Mytilus edulis: one gene and its partner. The protein of the gene in region 1 binds, or shares a complex with, the protein of each later gene. Links are inferred from orthologs where the notes say so. Each region holds a gene or a part of one and is shown on either strand. Other genes may lie near its edges.

Evidence for each region.
Region 2: THO complex subunit 6 homolog (region 1) and THO complex subunit 7 homolog share a complex: the UniProt entries of both Drosophila melanogaster proteins name them as parts of the THO complex. The link is inferred for Mytilus edulis from reciprocal best matches to the Drosophila melanogaster genes thoc6 and thoc7.

Annotation. Positions count from the first base shown.
Region 1 is NC_092349.1:58,725,608-58,736,152, forward strand, and holds the start of THO complex subunit 6 homolog, read left to right. Parts: upstream 1-5,484; 5' UTR 5,485-5,570; coding exon 5,571-5,573; intron 5,574-5,739; exon of another isoform or gene 5,740-5,868; intron 5,869-5,983; exon of another isoform or gene 5,984-6,078; intron 6,079-9,293; coding exon 9,294-9,409; intron 9,410-9,927; coding exon 9,928-9,992; intron 9,993-10,545. Other genes in the region: serine-rich adhesin for platelets-like, read right to left, coding at 4,636-4,649. UniProt on the Drosophila melanogaster protein: The THO complex is required for cell proliferation and for proper export of heat-shock mRNAs under heat stress.
Region 2 is NC_092344.1:46,249,400-46,259,545, forward strand, and holds the start of THO complex subunit 7 homolog, read left to right. Parts: upstream 1-6,182; 5' UTR 6,183-6,197; coding exon 6,198-6,309; intron 6,310-6,759; coding exon 6,760-6,880; intron 6,881-8,458; coding exon 8,459-8,586; intron 8,587-9,412; coding exon 9,413-9,499; intron 9,500-10,146. Other genes in the region: serine-rich adhesin for platelets-like, read right to left, coding at 2,334-2,438, 4,756-4,824, 4,977-5,064. UniProt on the Drosophila melanogaster protein: The THO complex is required for cell proliferation and for proper export of heat-shock mRNAs under heat stress.

The DNA of each region.
Region 1 (10,545 bases):
GCTCCAGATAAGAATTCACAAATTGGGTTTTTTACCCACCATTTTCTTATATAATTGAGTGATAAAGTTTTTTGATTGCATTATCAATTCCAATTCACCCCTCATGTTAATATCAAATTGGGTTTTTCACCACCAAGCTCCTTATTGTACTGGGTTTTTTCATCAACACAATATTGAATATTTAGGCAATATCAACCCCAGATTTTTTTCCATCTTAAATATGTTTCTTTCTTTGTTTAGCTGTTTTATTTGGTTTATGGTTAGGGTTATTTGCTAGCTGTTTTATTTGGTTTATTCACTGAGGAGCAATTGTAGGTTTAATTTTTGTTCCATTTCAAACCTTCTGCAAGTTTTGTATTTTCTCATATATACTGTATAAAACGGATATGTGTATTCACAGGCACTCATCTTATACCTTTATATAATAAATTCTGAGACCAGTGTAAAATGAAACAAAAAATAGTTTATATTATAAACTCTAATTATACTTGAATGTTTTTGTTTTATTTCAAATTTCATAAATCTGGGTTTAGTTGTCTTTTATTAGAACTTTTGGTTTCTGATGCTTTATCATGTCATAATTGATTTGGCCTCAAGTGTTTGGCCTTTCACTTTTTCCAACTGATTTCTTTTTGAGGAAACCCTGTATTTATTAGCAATGTTCTCGTTAAGGTACGCACACACGCCCGTGTGTTCTACGGCTTCCTAAAAACACTGGCTGAGTCTTGTTATCATCATAACTTTTCCTCAGCTTTTCAAAAGAAGCAGAAAACATGCTTCTATTCAATATTTTAACCGAACATTCACTTTTGTTTTAATTCAATGTATGTTATGATAAATCCCGAGCAATGCGAAAAAAATATGACTACATGACACACACTAATTGGATAGACGTCGAGAAGATCGATATGTTTTCAAAAACACGTGTACCTATTGAGCAACGGCAAACTCTAAAAGGGACCTATTTCAGCTACTTGATGCAGGGATCTATTTTTAGAACGAAAGGAAATTTCCAATTATAAATATTATAAAAAATAAAAATAGTTTACGCTACGACTGTAAACAGATAAGGGTAAACAACGCAAATGGTAGCCAATAAAAGGGTGGAAAACTCATGGTTTTGGAATATAATTGGGTTTTCCTTTGAATTAATTGGGTTATTGAACCCTGCAATGGGCAATTGCATTGGGTTTTTTATTATTTGTATTGCATGATCACGCAAATACGCAGCTTATCTGGAGCTCTGAAGATACAACAAATCGAACAAACCAATGAGTTCAAATGAAGTAAATGTATACATTTATAAGCAACCATACAGCTTTCAACAATGCGAACAACCCATACTAAATGTATCATCCTATATTGTCACTTTGATTCTTGTATATCAGTCATTTCAAAATAAAGTACAAATTCGGAATCTGAACTTTTCCAAAAAAAAAGTTAAAATAAATGCAAATTAATTTAAAAAACCAATAGCATATTGATTTGTTAATATTTTTTCAAAATATGCAATCTTACCAACACCTGAGAAAATTTTATTTTAAAATTGTGTGCAGGCTTGTGTCAGATTTTGTCCATCCTGTTACTATTTTTAACTGATAGCAAAAGTGATAATAGAAAAGAAAATATCCAATGAAAAGTGTGGCTCACATTTGCATAGCAGTGTTCATTTGAAATCACATTTACATTTATCATTTATGTAGATTACCCAAAAAAAATCTGCAGATAGTCGGTACGTTCAGGAAAATCATCACATTTCTTATTTTTCAAACACTCTTAAAAAAATATTGTGGAGACAGTGGCATTGAAAATTTACTAGTATGTCCCTTTTCAATTATACTAACTGGAAACTTAGTCAATAGATCAGTTATGTTGATTGTAAAAATTATTTTACACATTTTTTGGGGTAACAGGAACGAACAAAGACAGTAACAGGGAGGACAAAGTGGTAACAGTAGAGACAAAACATAATTTGGGTCACGAAAATCAATAACAAAAAACTGGATTTTGAATTTCATAGGGATACGAACGGGAGATATAAGTAAATAAACATTATACACGAACCATTTATACGTGTATCAACCCTGTCTGGGTCAAACAAACAAAACAAAACAAAAACAAATGAAAAATTGTTATTGGTGTTTTTTGTTTTTTTCGTTAAGTATGAAGTAAGATTTTGTTGCCGCAAGTCGTAAAAATCAGTACATAAGATGACATGCCTTTCTGTGAACTACCGCTTTTAAGACCAAGTTCAGCATGTTGGTTCTTATTTATTTATCATATTCTCTTCCTGAATATGCCTTTAAGTGTCCACTGGAGGCTAACCAATCAGCAGAACAACCACCCATCGTTCCGTCTTAGAGAAGGTTGAAGATAGGCGTAAAGAGCAAAACTAATTTCATATGTTTAAAAACATAAGGACAATTTAAAGAACACAACAATACAACTGAACGAAAATTCAAATTATTTTTTTTCTTATTGTCAATGATTCTGATATACATGTATCTAGTTTCTGACACATTTTAACACTGAAGGCTTGTCATTCTTGGATTTCTGGATCATCTCGATAAGTTCACGAAGAGGTTCTGATTTTATTTGGATTCGGAATGATAGCCAACATTCTGGAAGTTGTAGCAGCGTCTCTCAATGATTTTGACAAAGAAAAGCACGGAGGCGTCCAAAAAAAAGGGGGGGGGGTATGTCATTATAAAAATTAATAATACACACAGATTTGCCGCTGGTGTGCTTATTTGTATTTGGAATGGCAAATATATCAATGACCTGCAACTTTAAGAAGGCAATAAATCAATGGGTAGAAATTCTTATATCAATTAATGGGTCGACCCATACGTACATGATGTGCACCTACTGTAGACTAAAATTGGTGTTCTAATATTTGTATCTCCTAATATCATCTCATTTAAGTAAGAGAAGGGATTTGCACATAGTTATTTTATGAATAGGGCAGGGGAGTTCAAACCACAATCGGAGGTATAATATACCCACATTTATATGTTGTGCACCCCCCCCTTTTTTTTTGGAATAAAAGACATTCTTTTGTGTCATGAGTGTTGCTGTCGTCTCGCAAGGTCTGTATCTCTATTTGCCTGTAACGAGAAAGTATCATGTCTCTAAGAAACCAGTACAAAAGTTGGCAAAACATTGCACAATTAATAATGTAGTCCATCCTGTTACCAGTCAAGGTAGCACTTGACTTGTTCTAGAAATACCTCAATACAAATGTACATTTTATGAATTAATATACCGTACGGTAATAAATATGCGTAACAATTTATTTGCGATAATGTAAGAGGCATTTTGAGTTTTCTTACACAAAGTATGTCTATCCTGTTACCATTTTTGTCCCTCCTGTTACCAATGTCTTTGTAACAGGAAGGACAGTAACAGGATGGAAAAAATAGTACATAACTTAAATTGGTTTTATAATAGTCGCTCCCTAATAATTGATGTAGTGTTTTTATACTTCCGGCCCATGCCTAAGTTACGGTAACAACCGTTTCATTAGTCTTATGCAATTAAAAATTATCTATCAACTGGTAACATTAAAGACATTATAAAAAGGTACGCATACATCAATACCTACCGATCTTTTGATTCTGATGACCAAAATCTTTCCACATAAAAAATTTCACCATGTCGTTATGTCCTGTATCCACGCCTACGACGTCACCATAAAAAACCGCCGTTATTTGAGGGAGAAACTAGTTTTATTCCGTAAACAAATAAATAGTAACAGGAAGGACACATATTGATGAACAGACATTCCAGTGACTGTGGAATAAAAGTTGTCATGATTTGAAACATGGAAAGTTATTTATTTTTAATTATGATGTTACTAAATGAAGAAAAATCATTCTGTTTACCTTTAAATGCAGTTTTATGTACAGATAATTTGAATGCAAATGTTATTTATCAAAAATGAACGCATGGAAATTGGCGAATTTTCATACTTAAACGAATATAAAAAAAAATATGAAACTTTTTGCACACTAATATTTGCATGTACTATCTTGCACAATATGTAAACTCTTATGTTAAATTGAAAAAATATGTCAAACTTACAAATAAAACAGACAATAGACATTAACCGAAAAATGTACATTTTTTTGAAATGACTGATATCATGTATATGGTGAACTTAAATGTGTACTTTAAAAAAATCTTATCTTTATTTTTGGAGTTGGTAAAACTTCATCAGAGAATTAATATTAAACTATTTATCTATATTTTCATACATCAATCAATGTCACAGTGGCGGATCCAGAACTTTTCATAAAAGGGGGGCAGCTGACTGACCTAAGGCGGGCCTGCTCCAGTCATGCTTCAGTGATTCCTTATATAATCAACCAAATTTTTCCACGAAAAGGGTGGCCCGGGCCCCTTCCCCCTGGATCTGCCTATGAATGACAATATTATATATATTAAAATATCAACTTTTTCTCTGAACATGATCTCTAAAGGACAGGCCATATAGTAGCCTTAAATCTTAGGATTCAGGATTCAATATTACAAATAACTTCTTGTATATAAATGTTCATATGAACATGCTGTTTTATGATGATATTATTGCTTATTCATATCTGAAAACTTCTGTCAAATTATTACGTTCTTTACCCAACAACGGCCATTTTCTAGTCATATGACTTTCACTTTGTATACAAATTTTTATCACGTGATTTTATTCTATTTTGAGAGAAAGTATAATATAATACATATTACTACAATAAGAATTAACTTTACAGTTGATGTCTGTTTCTTTATGTTAAAGAACATGATTTTAATCATTCTAACTCCCGGGATAATATAATTTATTGGTTTTTTTTTTTATTTAATTCCGGATTTTTACCCGATTTCGATTTTTTGTTAGTCACCGGAACTGCGGGAAAACCAAGAATCCGGGTCCGTTCGCCCTGATTCTCGTTCGCCCTGGTATCTGTTCGCCCTGATTCCTGTTCGCCCTGATTCCTGTTCGCCCAGGGTCCATTCGCCCAGGGTCCATTCGCCCTGATTTTTCATTTGTTCTAATTGTTCTAGTTTCCTAATTTTAAGAGTATAATACTAAATGAACTTGTAAACAAACATGTTTCATGATTTACAGTTCGTACATCATTGTTTTTATTAATTTCAAGCTGAATATTTTATCAAAAGTTTTAAACAAAACGTTTGATTTTTATTAATAATCCATCAAAAGACAAGTATCAAAATAATCAGCGATGCGAATTATTTTGTCATTGAACAATTGTAATGATCCTAAACAAGCCATAAACTTTAACATATTTCGCGGTTTCCATAAATTTCAAGAATATATACCATAGAAATATCTGAATAAGTTTATTCAACTTCAATGCCCTCAATATTAATATTTTTTTAGTAGGGCGAACGGACTATATGGGCGAACGAACTCAGGGCGAACATACCCAGGGCGAACATGTTATTAGGGCGAACGGTCCCGATACCGAAAACCAAACGAAAACAAATCAACGTGCAAACTGCCAAAAGTTTACATATTACCAGTTCACTGGCGAATACAAATAGATTCAAAATTGAAAATGGTATAAGTTTCGTATGAAAACTTGAACTTATTTCTAAGCTCTGTTTAAGGGCTAAAAAGATGGGCTTGATATTGAAGTGTTATTTGCCATTTTGGCCGGTCTCGCTGAGCTCTACGGTTACCCCAGGGGTTAATACAAGCTATACTTAGTGTTAGAGTGCCCTTACCTCTCTTCTAGGTGTCAGTCCCAGCTAACCTTGTCAGGTCCCAAATTTCAGGCGCATTGCCTTGCTCGCTTCGCGTAAGAGAGGGATGCACTTGAAGTAGAGGCTGGAAGTACCTATAGTCGCCGTCAGCTGAAATTCGTAGCGGTTATCGGTAAAAATAATCTAAACTATCAATCGCGTTTCACTCGAGATATAGTTTTTCACATTCCATTCATAAATCGCAAAAAGAAAAACCACTACTGACCTACCTTTTAAGTGATCGCACTGTAACAATCCTGACCTTCACTTTTTCATAGACGATTTTGAATGGTGGAATCAGCCATTGTTTTTACCGGAAGTGTTTCCGTGGAGTTCAATTTCATAAAATTTGCATAAAGCGCGGGAAACCTTATCGCATCAATGAAAGGAACATTTCAGGAAACTGCGTACTGTGACGAATGTCATATGTAAACAAATGATCCTCATAGAAACGAAGATGGCGGAATTACAATGGAAAATATTCCCGAAAATGTGAAGGTCAGGATTATTACAGTGTGATCACTTAAAAGGTAGGTCAGTAGTGGTTTTTCTTTTTGCGATTTATGAATGGAATGTGAAAAACTATATCTCGAGTGTACGCGATTGATAGTTTATATTATTTTTACCGATAACCGCTACGAATTTCAGCTGACGGCGACTATAGTCCAAATAATTATGACGTCTTGAAAGGCTATTATAATTTTTTTCTTTGACGCCTTACTTCAACGTCGAAGTAAGGCGTCAAAGAAAAAAATTATAATAGCCTTTTATCATCGGTATAAAGACATCATTCGTAAATATAGCTCAACATGCAGACTTCTAATACGTTCAGGTATTTCACATCCAATTTTTTATGTAAATATTCTTTATAAAGCACAAAGGTGTCAGTATTCACCTCAGAAACTTACAAAACCTTTGAATAGACTTATTAATAAGGGATATAATTACGATCCTGTTGTCAAGTCATTAAAGATTGCATATTTTGGCGTTAATATTGAGTCACTGATAAGGTCTTTGCATCGGAACTAAACACATTTATTCTAAAAACAGTTGTTGGCATGACACGGGTTATGTTCTTCTCATATATGTTATGATGGTATGATACTAAACCCCTAACGGGAAGGATTGTGCCTGATGTTCATATGATGAAATCATAATCTTTCAGTCAGTTTATTTGAAGTCTGGAGCTGGCATGTCAGTTAACTGCTAGTAGTCTGTTGTTATTTATGTATTATTGTCATTTTGTTTATTTTCTTTGGTTACATCTTCTGACATCAGACTCGGACTTCTCTTGAACTGAATTTTAATGTGCGTATTGTTATGCGTTTACTTTTCTACATTGGTTAGAGGTATAGGGGGAGGGTTGAGATCTCACAAACATGTTTAACCCCGCCGCATTTTTGTGCCTGTCCCAAGTCAGGAGCCTCTGGCCTTTGTTAGTCTTGTATTATTTTAATTTTAGATTCTTGTGTACAATTTGGAAATTAGTGTGGCGTTCATTATCACTGGACTAGTATATATTTATTTAGGGGCCAGCTGAAGGACGCCTCCGGGTGCGGGAATTTCTTGCTACATTGAAGACCTGTTGGTGACCTTCTGCTGTTGTTTTTTATTTGGTCGGGTTGTTGTTTCTTTGACACATTCCCCATTTCCATTCTCAATTTTATTTTAAGACGTCATAATTATTTAGACTAGGAAGTACCCAACTGTTACCCTTGCGTCATGTGTCCCTTTCAGATCCCTCGGTGATGTACCAGTACCCTTGTTACATGTTGGGGAAACCCCCTAGAACTACGGGCCAATTACACTACTGTATATTTTTTTTATTTTTATCAAAGAAATCTAACAAAAACATTTCATATACAATAATACAAATGATTGATTGATTTTACTCTGATCTCCAACGGCTGTTTTGCCTTACCTGCTATTCCCATATCAGTAATTAGATATTTTCCCATCCAATATAGATGAGCTGCTTGGATGCTTCTGAAGTTCTGTCGCCGACAGACTGCCTTTGGTCCATATAAATCAGATCTCAATTTGATAATTTTTCATTTATCTTTTCATTTATATTAGTTTCATCTTCCTGCCACCCTTTATTTTCTCATATTTGGACAGTTTTCACAGTGACCCAACGATTCCAGGATTATCATTATCACACACTATCATTTTCTATGTGCAAAGAAACGTAAAATTGGGGTCAAAACTTTAATTTGGCAAACAAATTAAAAAGATCATATCATAGGGAATGTATACATCCTAAGTTTCAAGTTGACAAAATTTTCCTTGACCAAAAACTTTAACTTGAAGGTTGAAGGATAGGCAGACTTACTTAAATAAGTGATTTTCTAAATCACTGATTCAAGTAACATTATTTCCATAAAGGTTGGAAGTTAGAGTTGTCTTTCTTTAATAATCACCTATTTAAGAAGTAAAAATTAATCACTAGAAGAAGTGATATAATTTTATTGTAGCTTTAAATATAGAATACTAATGATCCAGGGACTAATTATGTTTCTAAACTTATCAGAACCAACATCTGTGTTGTCTAGGATGACTAGGTCATTTCAGGTGATGACCTTGTACTGAATCTAGGATAATGACATAAAAATCACTTGTTTAAGTATCAGACCTCAATTTCCTTCCCAAAAATCACTTCTTTAAGTATCATTCTTTTAATAACCCCCATTAATTTCAACACCCCCGAACAGTGAAATTTTTATCACGAACAGTAGAATTTTATTACATAATCTGAAAGATGAAACCTTGAACTTCACAGGAAAAATACTCCCACTGCTGGGAAAAATCTTTGAAGAAAGTATCAGTTCATAATGTAAAGCCATTATTATAGCATTTTTTCAACTAAAATAGAATTTTCAGCTAAATTTTAGCATCGAAGGCATAAACCTTGCTACTTAAAAGAAGCAAAAAGTTCATTTTTTTTTAATTTTACTAATTAAAAGATATTATTTAAACCTATGTGTTTAAAATTTTGAAAAAACTACAAAATTCCAATTTGTGACAAAACCTCGAATTTGCTACTCATTTCAGTAAGTCCCTTGACTTGATAATGCCCCTAAGTAGGGCATAAAAAGTAACTACAACATGTATTCAATACTATAAGATTATGTGAAGTCAGTGATTTAAAGGAAAAATATGCATTGATCTTTGTCAGTCATTTGCAACCTTAAAGTACCATACAACCATTAGTAGAAATGGACTTGGAGGCTCAAAGACTTACACATTTTTACATAACAAAATAAGTACACTGATATTCCTTACTTTTAGGTAGGCAATTTTATCTACCCCAAGTATAGATTGCCATAGCTGTATTTGACTAAACTTTTCACAATTATTGGTTTTTAAAGCTCTAAAACTTTGTATTTTACTTTAAAAATAACTTTACTCTCCAATTGTTTTTATGGAGCGTTGCTGGTGATCATAAATCTCATCATCTGCCGTACAATTTTATAAGCCTTGTTTGTTTAGGTTTGATGATTTTTTATTAACAATCAACAATGCTTTTGTCTTTGCAGGACAGAGATTTAGCAGCACGTAGACAACTACACACGACAATATTTGATCATTGTTACTCGCCATGTGGAAAGTACATTGCAGCTGCTAATAACTACGGACAGATTGCTGTTTTCAGGTGTAGTAACAGTTATTTTTAATTAAGTGTAGACTACATGGTTTAAAAAAGGAATGTTGTTCCAGGGTTCTCATTCATAAAGCTTTTTTCATTACTTCTAGTACAAAATTTGTGCTTTAAACATATGATTCATTATTTTGATTGGTAGAAGCCTGAGTATGATAATTACTCAAAACTTTTATGACCACATGGACAGATCTAATGTCATGAGTGTATCATATTCATTATGATTATAGCTTTATTAGAACAGCATCCTTACAAACATGACAAAACTTGATTTTAAAACAGTTTTCAAGGAAATTGTAAAAAGGTTCAACCATGAGACTTGATTTTAACTTCTTTGATATTTTTAATCCCAAATGACATTGCTTTAAATTTATGGATATTCAGATATACACTTTCCATACTTTTGATACTTTTACTTGGAATGATTTAAATTATTCAAAAGCTGCAATGTCAATATACTTTTTGTAGTTTGTAAAGAAAGAGTATTTTTTTTATCCATCATTATTTTACAGTTTGTCAGCAGCTTTAGCACCAGAAGCTTCAGAAGCTACATGGAAACCAGTCTTTATATTTGAAGGTAAGAAACCAGAAAAAAGGGGGATCAGTCTTTATGACCTACACATGACCTAAAAAGGATGAAAAACATCTGAAAACCAATTATTATATATACTGTATAATTAATACCAAACAGGACAACAATAAGAATTGTACTTGAAGATTTTGAAGTATAACAAAAAATGGTTATAAAGAGTTTGGAAATACTAAAAACTTCATGGAAACCAGTCTTAGTGTTGGACCAAAAAAATCAATCAATGTTGTAGATACTACATGTTATAAACATTTAACAAATGTAAGTATTTTAAATGAAGAATTGAAGGTTAGAAATAAAATTGATATGGGATGTCATAAGATATCATTTAAACAACTTACAATACACCTTTTTAGCTCACCTGGCCCGAAGGGCCAAGTGAGCTTTTCCCATCACTTTGCGTCCGTCGTCCGTCGTCGTTAACTTTTACAAAAATCTTCTCCTCTGAAACAACTGGGCCAAGTTAAACCAAACTTGGCCACAATCATCATTGGGTATCTAGTTTAAAAAATGTGTCCGGTGACCCAGCCAACCAACCAAG
Region 2 (10,146 bases), on another chromosome or scaffold:
AGACCTGTAAAAGTGACGCTACCCAAATTTTACCTTCATCTGTCTTTTGTGGCAACAGACAGTGTTTTAAGTTTTATAAATTTGATTGAGGCAAACTTAGGTTAGAGAATGGAAACAAACGTTTCAGCAATTTTTCCATTTGGAGCATAACTCTAAAATGGTTAAAGTGACCCAACCAAAATACAAACTTGATCTGTGTTTTGTGGTAATGAGCATTGTTTAAAAGTTTCATAACATTTGGTTTAGACAATAAAGTTAGAGAACGGAAACGAAAAAATGCAGCAATTTTCCATTTGTAAAAGGACATAATTTAGAAAGGTCAAAGTGACGCCACCAAATTTCAAACTTGACCTGTGTTTTGTGGTAATAAGCATTGTGTATAAGTTTCATAACATTTGGTTTAGGCGAACTAAAGTTAGAAAATGAAAACCCATTTTGGAATGTTCGTACGGACATACAGACAGACAAGGGTAAAACTTAAGGCGGGGGCATTAAAAATTTAAATCCTCTGGCTTTCAATATCAAAGTTTATAGGAATGAACAACAATTCTTGATTTTCAATATGGACACTTTTTAATGTCTAGTTTACATGTAAATACTAAATTTTGTATTCTTAATTGCATCCTTAAACTTGTTTCTGTTGAAAAATTCAGTCAAACCTAGGGTTGCAAGGTATTATCTGTAATGAGCCAAAGTATTTTCTGACATTATTTTCATAATTTATGTTCATTGGCATCATATTGAAAACTGGGCCTAAAATCAAACATCAAAGTACATGCTTAGATTCAGCATATCAAAGAACCCCTAAATTAAATTTTTGTTGAAATCAAACAAAGTTTAATTTTGGACCCCGATTTGGACCAACTTGAAAACTGGGCCAATAATCAAAAATCTTAGTACATGTTTAGATTCAGCATATCAAAGAACCCCAAGGATTCAATTTTTGTTAAAATCAAACTTAGTTTAATTTTGGACCCTTAGGACCTTAATGTAGACCAATTTGAAAACGGGACCAAAAATTAAGAATCTACATACACAGTTAGATTCGGCATATCAAAGAACCCCAATTATTCAATTTTTAATGAAATCAAACAAAGTTTAATTTTGGATCCTTTGGGCCCATTATTCCTAAAGTGTTGGGACCAAAACTCTAAAAAAAATGCCTACCTTCCTTTTATGGTCATTAACCTTGTGTTTAAATTTCATTGATTTCTATTTACTTATACTAAAGTTATGGTGCGAAAACCAAGAAAAATGCTTATTTGGGCCCCTTTTTCCTAAACTGTTGGGACCTCAACTCCCAAAATCAATCCCAACCTTTCTTTTGTGTTCATAAACCTTGCGTTTAAATTTTATTGATTTCTATTTACTTATACTTAAGTTATAGTGCGAAAACCAAGAATAATGCTTTTTTTGGCCCCTTTTTGGCCCCTAATTCCTAAACTGATGGGACCAAAACTCCCAAAATCAATCCCAACCTTCCTTTTGAGGTCATAAACCTCGTGTCAAAATTTCATACATTTCTATTTACTTGAACTAAAGTTATAGTGCGAAAACCAAGAAAATGCTTATTTGGGCCCCTTTTGGCCCCCAATTCCTAAACTGTTGGGACCAAAACTCCCAAAATCAATCCCAACCTTCCTTTCATGGTCATAAACCTTGTGTTTAAATTTCATAGATTTCTATTTACTTATACTAAAGTTATAGTGCGAAAACCAAATGTCTTCGGACGAAGAAGACGCCAACATGATGCCAATATACGACGAAATTTTTTTCAATTTTTGCGGTAGTATAAAAACATAATGCTTATAAATGGGACATAAAAAAATAAGGTCAAGGGCAATGGACATATGACATACAGAACATTTGAAACAATTGTATACATTTAAGAAAGTTTCAGGTCTGCTACCTCTTTATATATATAGCTTTGTAAGATAGTTTCAGAGTTGTTACAAAGTAATCATTTCTATAGCTTGCATACTGTGAATTTTATATCAGGCAAGACAAAACCGATCTGCAGATTTTTCTTTAAAATTTTTATGCATTTCGTACATACATGTAAGTTGAAAGAAGATTTTGACCATGATGTTTAATGTATTTTTTTTTATTGTACTCTACATGCTCTGGTTAAGGTGAATAAGCATGTCAAGTTTCATGCTTGAACTCTCTAAATTGAAAATCGTAAAGATTCATTACTGATTTATTGGTTATTTTGCTTGATGCTTGGAATCATCTAAATGACATGTATTGTGATGGTGGTCTTGAAAGGCTCAAAGGTTAACCAGTCAATCAACTTTTAATAACCAATTGATATGATGGTGATCTTTACTTACGTAGATGTATGTTAAGCGCTTGTGGCTTTAATACTTTATTACACTTCTCGCACTGGACAAGAAAAAACTCATCTTGAGAAGGACACACTCCAAACAATGCACTATCTGTTAGAAAGAAAACAAAACTATATTACTTTATAACTTTATAATTACATTAGATGTATGTTTCATTATAATATTTTATTCTGATTGGCTAACTGCACATCACGTGTTATTCCGTAAGCAGTTGCATTGCTCAATACATCTTTTCACTCATGATAACACGTGCTCCAACAATAAAGTGCACAGGTGAATTAAATAATAAAATATATAAAATTTGTGTTTTCATGATCATAGCTAAAAAATGTAATTATAAGTATTGAATGCTTCTTTTTGTAACATTATAGGGTTGTAAAAGCGTTGACCGTGCGTACATTTTTAGAATGAAGCGCTTCTGCGCTTCATACAAAATGTACTTCGGTCAACGCTTTTACACCCCAATAAATTTACAAAAAGAAGCATTCAATTCTTAAATACAATGTACTGGACGGATAAAAATTGTCTTGTAGTTTACACACTCCATTAACCAAACAATGCACTATCTGTAAGAAAGAAGAAAAACTATATTACTTTATAACTTTATACAATGCACTGGACAGATAAAAATTGTCTTGTAGTTTACACACTCCATTGACCAAACAATGCACTATCTGTTAGAAAGAAAACAAAACTATATTACTTAATAACTTTATACAATGCACTGGACAGATAAAAAATTTCTTGTAGTTTACACTCCATTGACCAAACAATGCACTATCTGTAAGAAAGAAGAGGATAAGATATTCCATTGACCAAACAATGCACTCTGTGACGTGTCAAAAAAATAAATTATACAAATTTCTTCATAACTTTGTACAATAACAAAAAAAAATTAAAATTTAGTTTCAATTGGTAATTAATTTTCAATAAATGATCCACAAGACAAGATATAAAAAAAAAATATCTGTTTCTTCCTCCAACTATATTTTAGACATCCAACCCTAATACATTCTTATGTCTTACCAAATTTTATATCAGGAAATAAGAGCTTTGAATTGTAAGTCGACTACAAAAACTTAATTCTGCTGACTTGTTGAGATATTTAGAGGATAATAATTAAGTAAAAAGATTGACAAAACAATTGAATCTGAAAGATTAAGAAGCATTTGGATGTGTACTGTAAATTTCGATTGGAGACCAGTTTAGATAAAACAGGTGATTTTTCTCAAATTATGCTGATAATGAAACAAATAAAAAAGAAAAAGCATTTCCATTGATTTAAAAGTGATTTACTTCAGTTTTGTATTTTTCTTATCAAATTAATTTTGTATACTAGATCCATTGTTCATGCAGTATTAATGGAGTGTGTGATGTTTGAGTACCAAAAATAACACAATTTCTGCTTTAGCTTTTGAAAGATCTTGTAAGCTCAGCATCTACAAGGAATTTAAGGTTCATCATAAGGAATTGAAAAATATGGCCGTGTTTACACCTCCAAAATTACTATGAGTACAGACAAACTGGTACATCCAGGAAAATTTTAAGGCATGGCAGGAACTAGATATATAAAAGTTATATGAAGTCTACGTTTCAGAAAATTATAAACTTACCTGGATTTTGATGTTCATTTTTTTCCAGTCTGCAGAAGATAGCAAAATAAACAAACACCCGAGTTTCGTTTGATACGGTCCACTCAGTTACACAGTTTAAACCTGTTAAATCACCTATTGTTTACAGGTGTCTATTGTCCATCTATTGTCCATTTAAATCAATACTACTCACAACATTGATTATATGAGGGGAGCTTCTCAATCGTTTTCACTACTTAGTTAATTTTTGCACCTTCTGCAGGAACGAAAAAAAATGGATAGCAAAATCTAGAAAAGTTTATAATTTTCTGAAACATAAAATGCATTTAAAATTTATATATCTAGTTCCTGCCATCCCTTAAAACTGTTGCAGGTGTATAGGTTAGTCTGTACTCAGAGTAAAATTTGGGGTATAAATACGGCCATTTTAGCCAAAAGGTTATGATGAACCTTAAGAGCAACAGGTATAGATATCAATGGTGAATATATTACTCAGAAACAATAAGATAACATGGTCATAAACAGGCTTCAAAAATAAGAGTCAAAACCATTTGTCATTTTAAATGACAAATGATTTTGACTCTTATTTTTGAAGCCTGATTTTTGATGAATCATTTTTATGCTAGGTTGTAACCAATGTAGAGTGAACATTTAAAACTTGATTTGTCATATTTTTTGTTTATTGTTCTCTTTTTAAAAAAAAATGGTATTGAACTTCATGTAAAAGATTTATACGCTATTCTCCATGTCAAACTACATTCAAATCAATGTGTATAAAATAAGTTCAACTTATCTTTTGTTACCAATGCTATTACCTTCAACATTCAGTTTCATACTATCACTGTCGTCTGTAGCTTTAGATTCAGAGCTTTCACCACCTGAATCTGAAAATATATAAGAATTTATTTTGACATTTGTCAGGGAAATTTTGAAAGTAGAAACGACACTGGTTATGGAAAAGTTTTGAACATTCAGAAATTTGTAATAGCTTTTGGACAATACATGAATCATTTAAACGATGATATTCTATTCTCACCACTATATGGTGGGGAAGGCACAGTATTGGCCCATTCGGACCATGGTTGACCCGCAAAATGCGACGGACTACTGTCCAGGGTCGCCATTTTGCAGTTTTTCTTGTTGCTTTCTGCCAGTCCGACTATCACCGATGTTTTGTGACGTCAAAGATCGGGAAACTCCGTCGTTGGTCTTGGTCTTCCGCTTACGCCAACGAAAATATAGTTTGTTAAATGATGATTTTAACAATTCAAAAGTTCCTATTTTTTTACGAAGATCGAAAAATAACTCCAAATTAAAATATGAAATATAGAAATTAACAAATTAAACGAAAATGTGCCACAAATTTTTTGTATTTTATTCAAATTTGATGCTACAAGCGACGAAAATGGCAGTGAGTGATGGTTAGTCTTCTCGTGCTGCATGCTTTTCATGTTTTATAATGTTTATGAAATTAGATTGATTGATTGACTTAAATGTGTTCAATGCTAGATAGAACATAGATCCAAATTTAATATAATTCCCTCAACTAAGGATTATGTGGCCCATTTTCGAATCTTTTTTTATTTTCTGAAACACAATTTCTCAAAATGCAAATTTTTTTAAGTTATTTTATTTGAAACGAGTCGTTTCGGCCAAGCCAATGGAGCCGGTTCGGCCTTTGTTGATTCAGCTATATAATAATAGTCGTTTCATCCATTCTTCAATTATATATTAAAAGATGATTTGTTGTATTTGCTTTGGGAACAAACCCTCTATCTATGGTGTTTATACCTTTATAGAGGGTTAATCCTTCTGTATTTTTGTTAAGACTGGATTTTAAGCAAAATAGGGCAGATTAGCATTTTCTAGTTATATTGGCTATAATATAAAGCATTATATGCATCAGTTATTGCACTTTACTAAAATTGGGATGCCCAGATTTCTGCCGACAGAACTTGAAATTTACATGTATTTTATACCTATCTCACTGTACAATAGATTGTATATATACAGTCAGTTTAGCAGTAAACTGGGTATGTGCATATTAAACTAAGTACATCAATTGTTGCAGGTTACTGTCATAATAAGTAGAGACTGCCAATATACCCTATTTTGCTTTAAAACCAATCTTAACAAAAATATCCCTCTATAAAGGTATAAACACCATATAGATTATAGAGGGTTTCACCGTTTGTTCCCAACCTGATATATACCTTTTATATAAAATTTGGAATTTTTTGAAACACAATTTCTCAAAATGCATAATTTTCCTGAAAAAAAGTTGTTTAGGCCATGCCAATGGAACAGGATTGGCCTATGTCGATTTGCCTATGTAGTAATAGTCATTTCAACCATACTTCATAAATCATGTACTTCAACTATATATATATTAAAAGATATTTTGTTGTATTTGCTTTCATTTATATGCCTTTTATATATCGTAACTCTAAAAAAATTTTAACTAAATTGCACTTAAATGGTAATGATGTGCACAAAATGACATAAGCAAAGGCCAAGGGATATGGTTACGGTCTTGTTTTGAAATGATTAAATTGAATTATAAGTTGATTGGATTATTATGATACACACCCCTTGTCAATCACTTTGACACTTATTTTATTACTTAACTAATCCAATTATCTAATTAAATATACAAATGTATCTGTGTGTAATCAATTATCTTGAGTAATATAATAATTAAAATAGATGTATTCATGTATTCTCAAATCCAGTTCAATTTTATTTAGTCAAATACAGAAATCAAACCATAAACTAATTATGCTAATAGTAAATTATTAAACTAAAAACATTTTTTATAGATGATATTTTTCGGAGGAGGTTATTAATAGAAGGTGATGGAGGTGGTGACGATAAGAGAATTGCCAGCTTATTGAAAACATTTTTCCATTGGGCAAGTGAATCAGAGACCAAGGAAGAAAAGTAATCTATAGTTTTTGTAAACTAGCTTAATTTTTTTTTTTAGATTTTCATTGATACAGCTTTGTCTAATGTCCTAATATGTTTGAGAACTTATTAAATTGTATTTAGTAAATGCAATAATCAATAAATATCATAGTCATGATAGTTTTAACATGGAGCAGGAATTTTCCAACATGTTGAAAATTTCCAAATTTACAATTGTATGACAAGTTAATGCCACCTTGAAAATACAGTTTATCAAGATTTTGAACACCTACCCCTGTGCCCCAATAGGATGACATGCAATGTAACATGCACAACTTGTGGCAATGTGGTACATGTATGCAGTATGTTTGTGAGTAAGAACAGCCCCTGTATACTAAAACTGAGAATGGAAATGAAGAAAGTGTCAAAGAGACAAAAACCACACCAATGAGCAGAAAACATAAATGTGCATGAATGGCCATGATACACAGAGTTACCATAATCATAAGTCAGTGCTTTTTCTCACACCTTTTTGTTTATTTATGGTATTAGATTTGTAGAAAGAGAGATTTAAGATACTAAAGATAGCCAAAAATCAATGACAAGACATACATACTGCATTAAAGATTCATTTTACAAAATACTGAAGCAACACAAAGACGTAGAAAAAATCTGGGGTGTTTTTTTGAAGAAGTATACAGAAAATGAAATTTTGCACCATTTTTTGCCAAATGATATTCACTTTGTATGACAATATGGATTTCTGACAATGAGTTATATGCTTGTAATTAATATAATGTACCTTGGCTGTAATTAATAGATATCTCTGCTTTTGCAGTCTGAGAAAAATGTTAAATCAAATTGTAGTTTTGAGCAAATTACCAAACTGGTCGATTGGAAAAATACAACAGTATTAGTAGCACATGTGGCCTGTGTTATATGAATTTATATTTATAAACATGATAAAAAGATACTTCTGTTTGACTCTGTTCTGTAATGAATGATCATGAATCATGAATGACTTAATTTATATCAAATGTTTTTTTTTTTCAAATTGAAAAAAAACCAAAATATATAATGTAAGAATAATACATTGTATTTATATTTTTATGCCCCACCTACGATAGTAGAGTGGCATTATGTTTTCTGGTCTATGCCTCCGTTCGTCCGTCCGATTCAGGTTAAAGTTTTTGGTCAAGGTAGTTTTTGAAGAAGTTGAAGTCCAATCAACTTGAAACTTAGTACACTTGTTCCCCATGATATGATCTTTCTAATTTTAATTCCAAATTAAAGTTTTGACCCCAATTTCACGGTCCACTGAACATAGAAAATGATAGTGCGAGTGGGGCATTCGTGTACTATGGACACATTCTTGTTTATTATGTTTTCTGATTTTTTACAAAGATGAAGTGTTGGCAACTGGTTTTTTTTACAGTTGCTCCCAATCTTTTTATTAAATTTATTTTACCTTTATGTGAAAGCTGATTGGGGAGATGTACAAAACTACAAATGTATAAGTTCTTACAAATAACAAATACCCAATTTGTACAAGTTCTTACAAATAACAAATACCCGAACTATTTTCTTTTAATGAAATACATGTTCCTTTTTCAGTCATGCCCAGTATGAGAGAATGATGAAAGACCTAGCTCTGTGTGACTGTGCTGCAGGAAAATGTTTGAATGTTTTCAAGATGAATTTGAAGGAGCAATCAAATTATGAAAAATTAAGTAAAGAAATTGGTAAGATATAGAAATAGTAAAGAAACATGGTGGGATGGTGACAAGGTTACACAAGTTTTCAATTTGTATTTAAAACAAATCTGTATCAGAATCCTAAAATGAAAACAATAATAATAGTGCAATTGTAGCTGCATATATAATATAGATATTGTCTATTAGACATACAACAACTTATAGTACAGTGTAAGATGGGATGATTCTATACCCGAAGAATAAGTACTTAAAATAAGATTTCTGTAACTATTAGCATTTTGTTATTACCTTAATAAAGAATTGTTGTTATGTTATATTTTTTTTTATGCCCCATTTATTTTGCCCAATATGTTTTCTGGTCTGTGCGTCCATTTGTCTGTTCATTCGTCCGTTTGTCTGTTCTGCTTCAGGTTCAAGTTTTTGGTCAAGGTAGTTTTTGATGAAGTTGAAGTCCAATCAAATTGAAACTTAGTATACATGTTCCTTGTGATATGATCTTTCTAATTTTAATGCCAAATTAGAGTTCTGACCCCAATTTCACGGTCCACTAAACATAAAAAATGATAGTGTGAGTGGGGCATCCGTGTACTGGGGACACATTCTTGTTTGTAATGTTCATTTCACTCTTATTATGAGTAATAGGATACAATGTAACTACATTTGGTATGTGCGTACCTTGCAAGGTCCACTTGCCTGTCGGACAGTTTTCACTTGACCTTTCTTCTATTGATGTTAATTGAATAGAAAACATGCCCTAGTTCCCATTTAAAAAAAAAATTTTTTAATTAGCACAAAAGATTAGGTGATCTGCTGGAAAATACATGAAATGGGCTCTGTACACTTTTTTTTTCAGAACAAAAAATAAGTGAGGCTACAGAAAAGATTTCAGAGTGTAAAAATGAATTACAGCAAGCAAAACGAATTAGGAAAAACAGACAAGGTATGTTTTCATTTCAAATTCAGGTTTTATAAGTGTATGACAAGCACTTGCCTACAATTTGTGATAACTCTGCAACATCATTACATATCTGTTTGCTGATTACAATTGGTGTGCTATTGATGCATGTACAAGTACACCATATCTTTAGGTTTCTATACATTACTTTTTTTATCATATTGATAATAAAGGCCAAGCTTGCATTAGATATGATTTCCAAAGAATCTTTTGAAGTAGAAGCAATTTAGTCCAAATACTGGCACAGATTTAAAAGGTTCTTTCCATGATCTTAAGTATTTCCTAACAATACTACAGTTAAAAGATGTATAAAAAATAACATAAAATGTAATAACAACAAATTTTACATTTGTTGATAAAAGAAACATACCATTTTTGTAAATTTACTTCAACTTTAAGTATAATTAGAGTTGAAAAGACGTGTGCACCCAAGAAACCATTTTGAATTTGTTGAGAGTATGTATAATAGCTATATTAAAACCTCTCTCAAATTATTTTGTTATTTCTTGGCTGCATAGAAGGTTATAACAAGTCTATGGCTTCCATGAATTATTTCGATTCTAATAGGACAAATATGGTCATTAAAAAAACTGAAGTGAGGGTGGGTTTGCCGTGTGTGTGGCTGTTCTGTT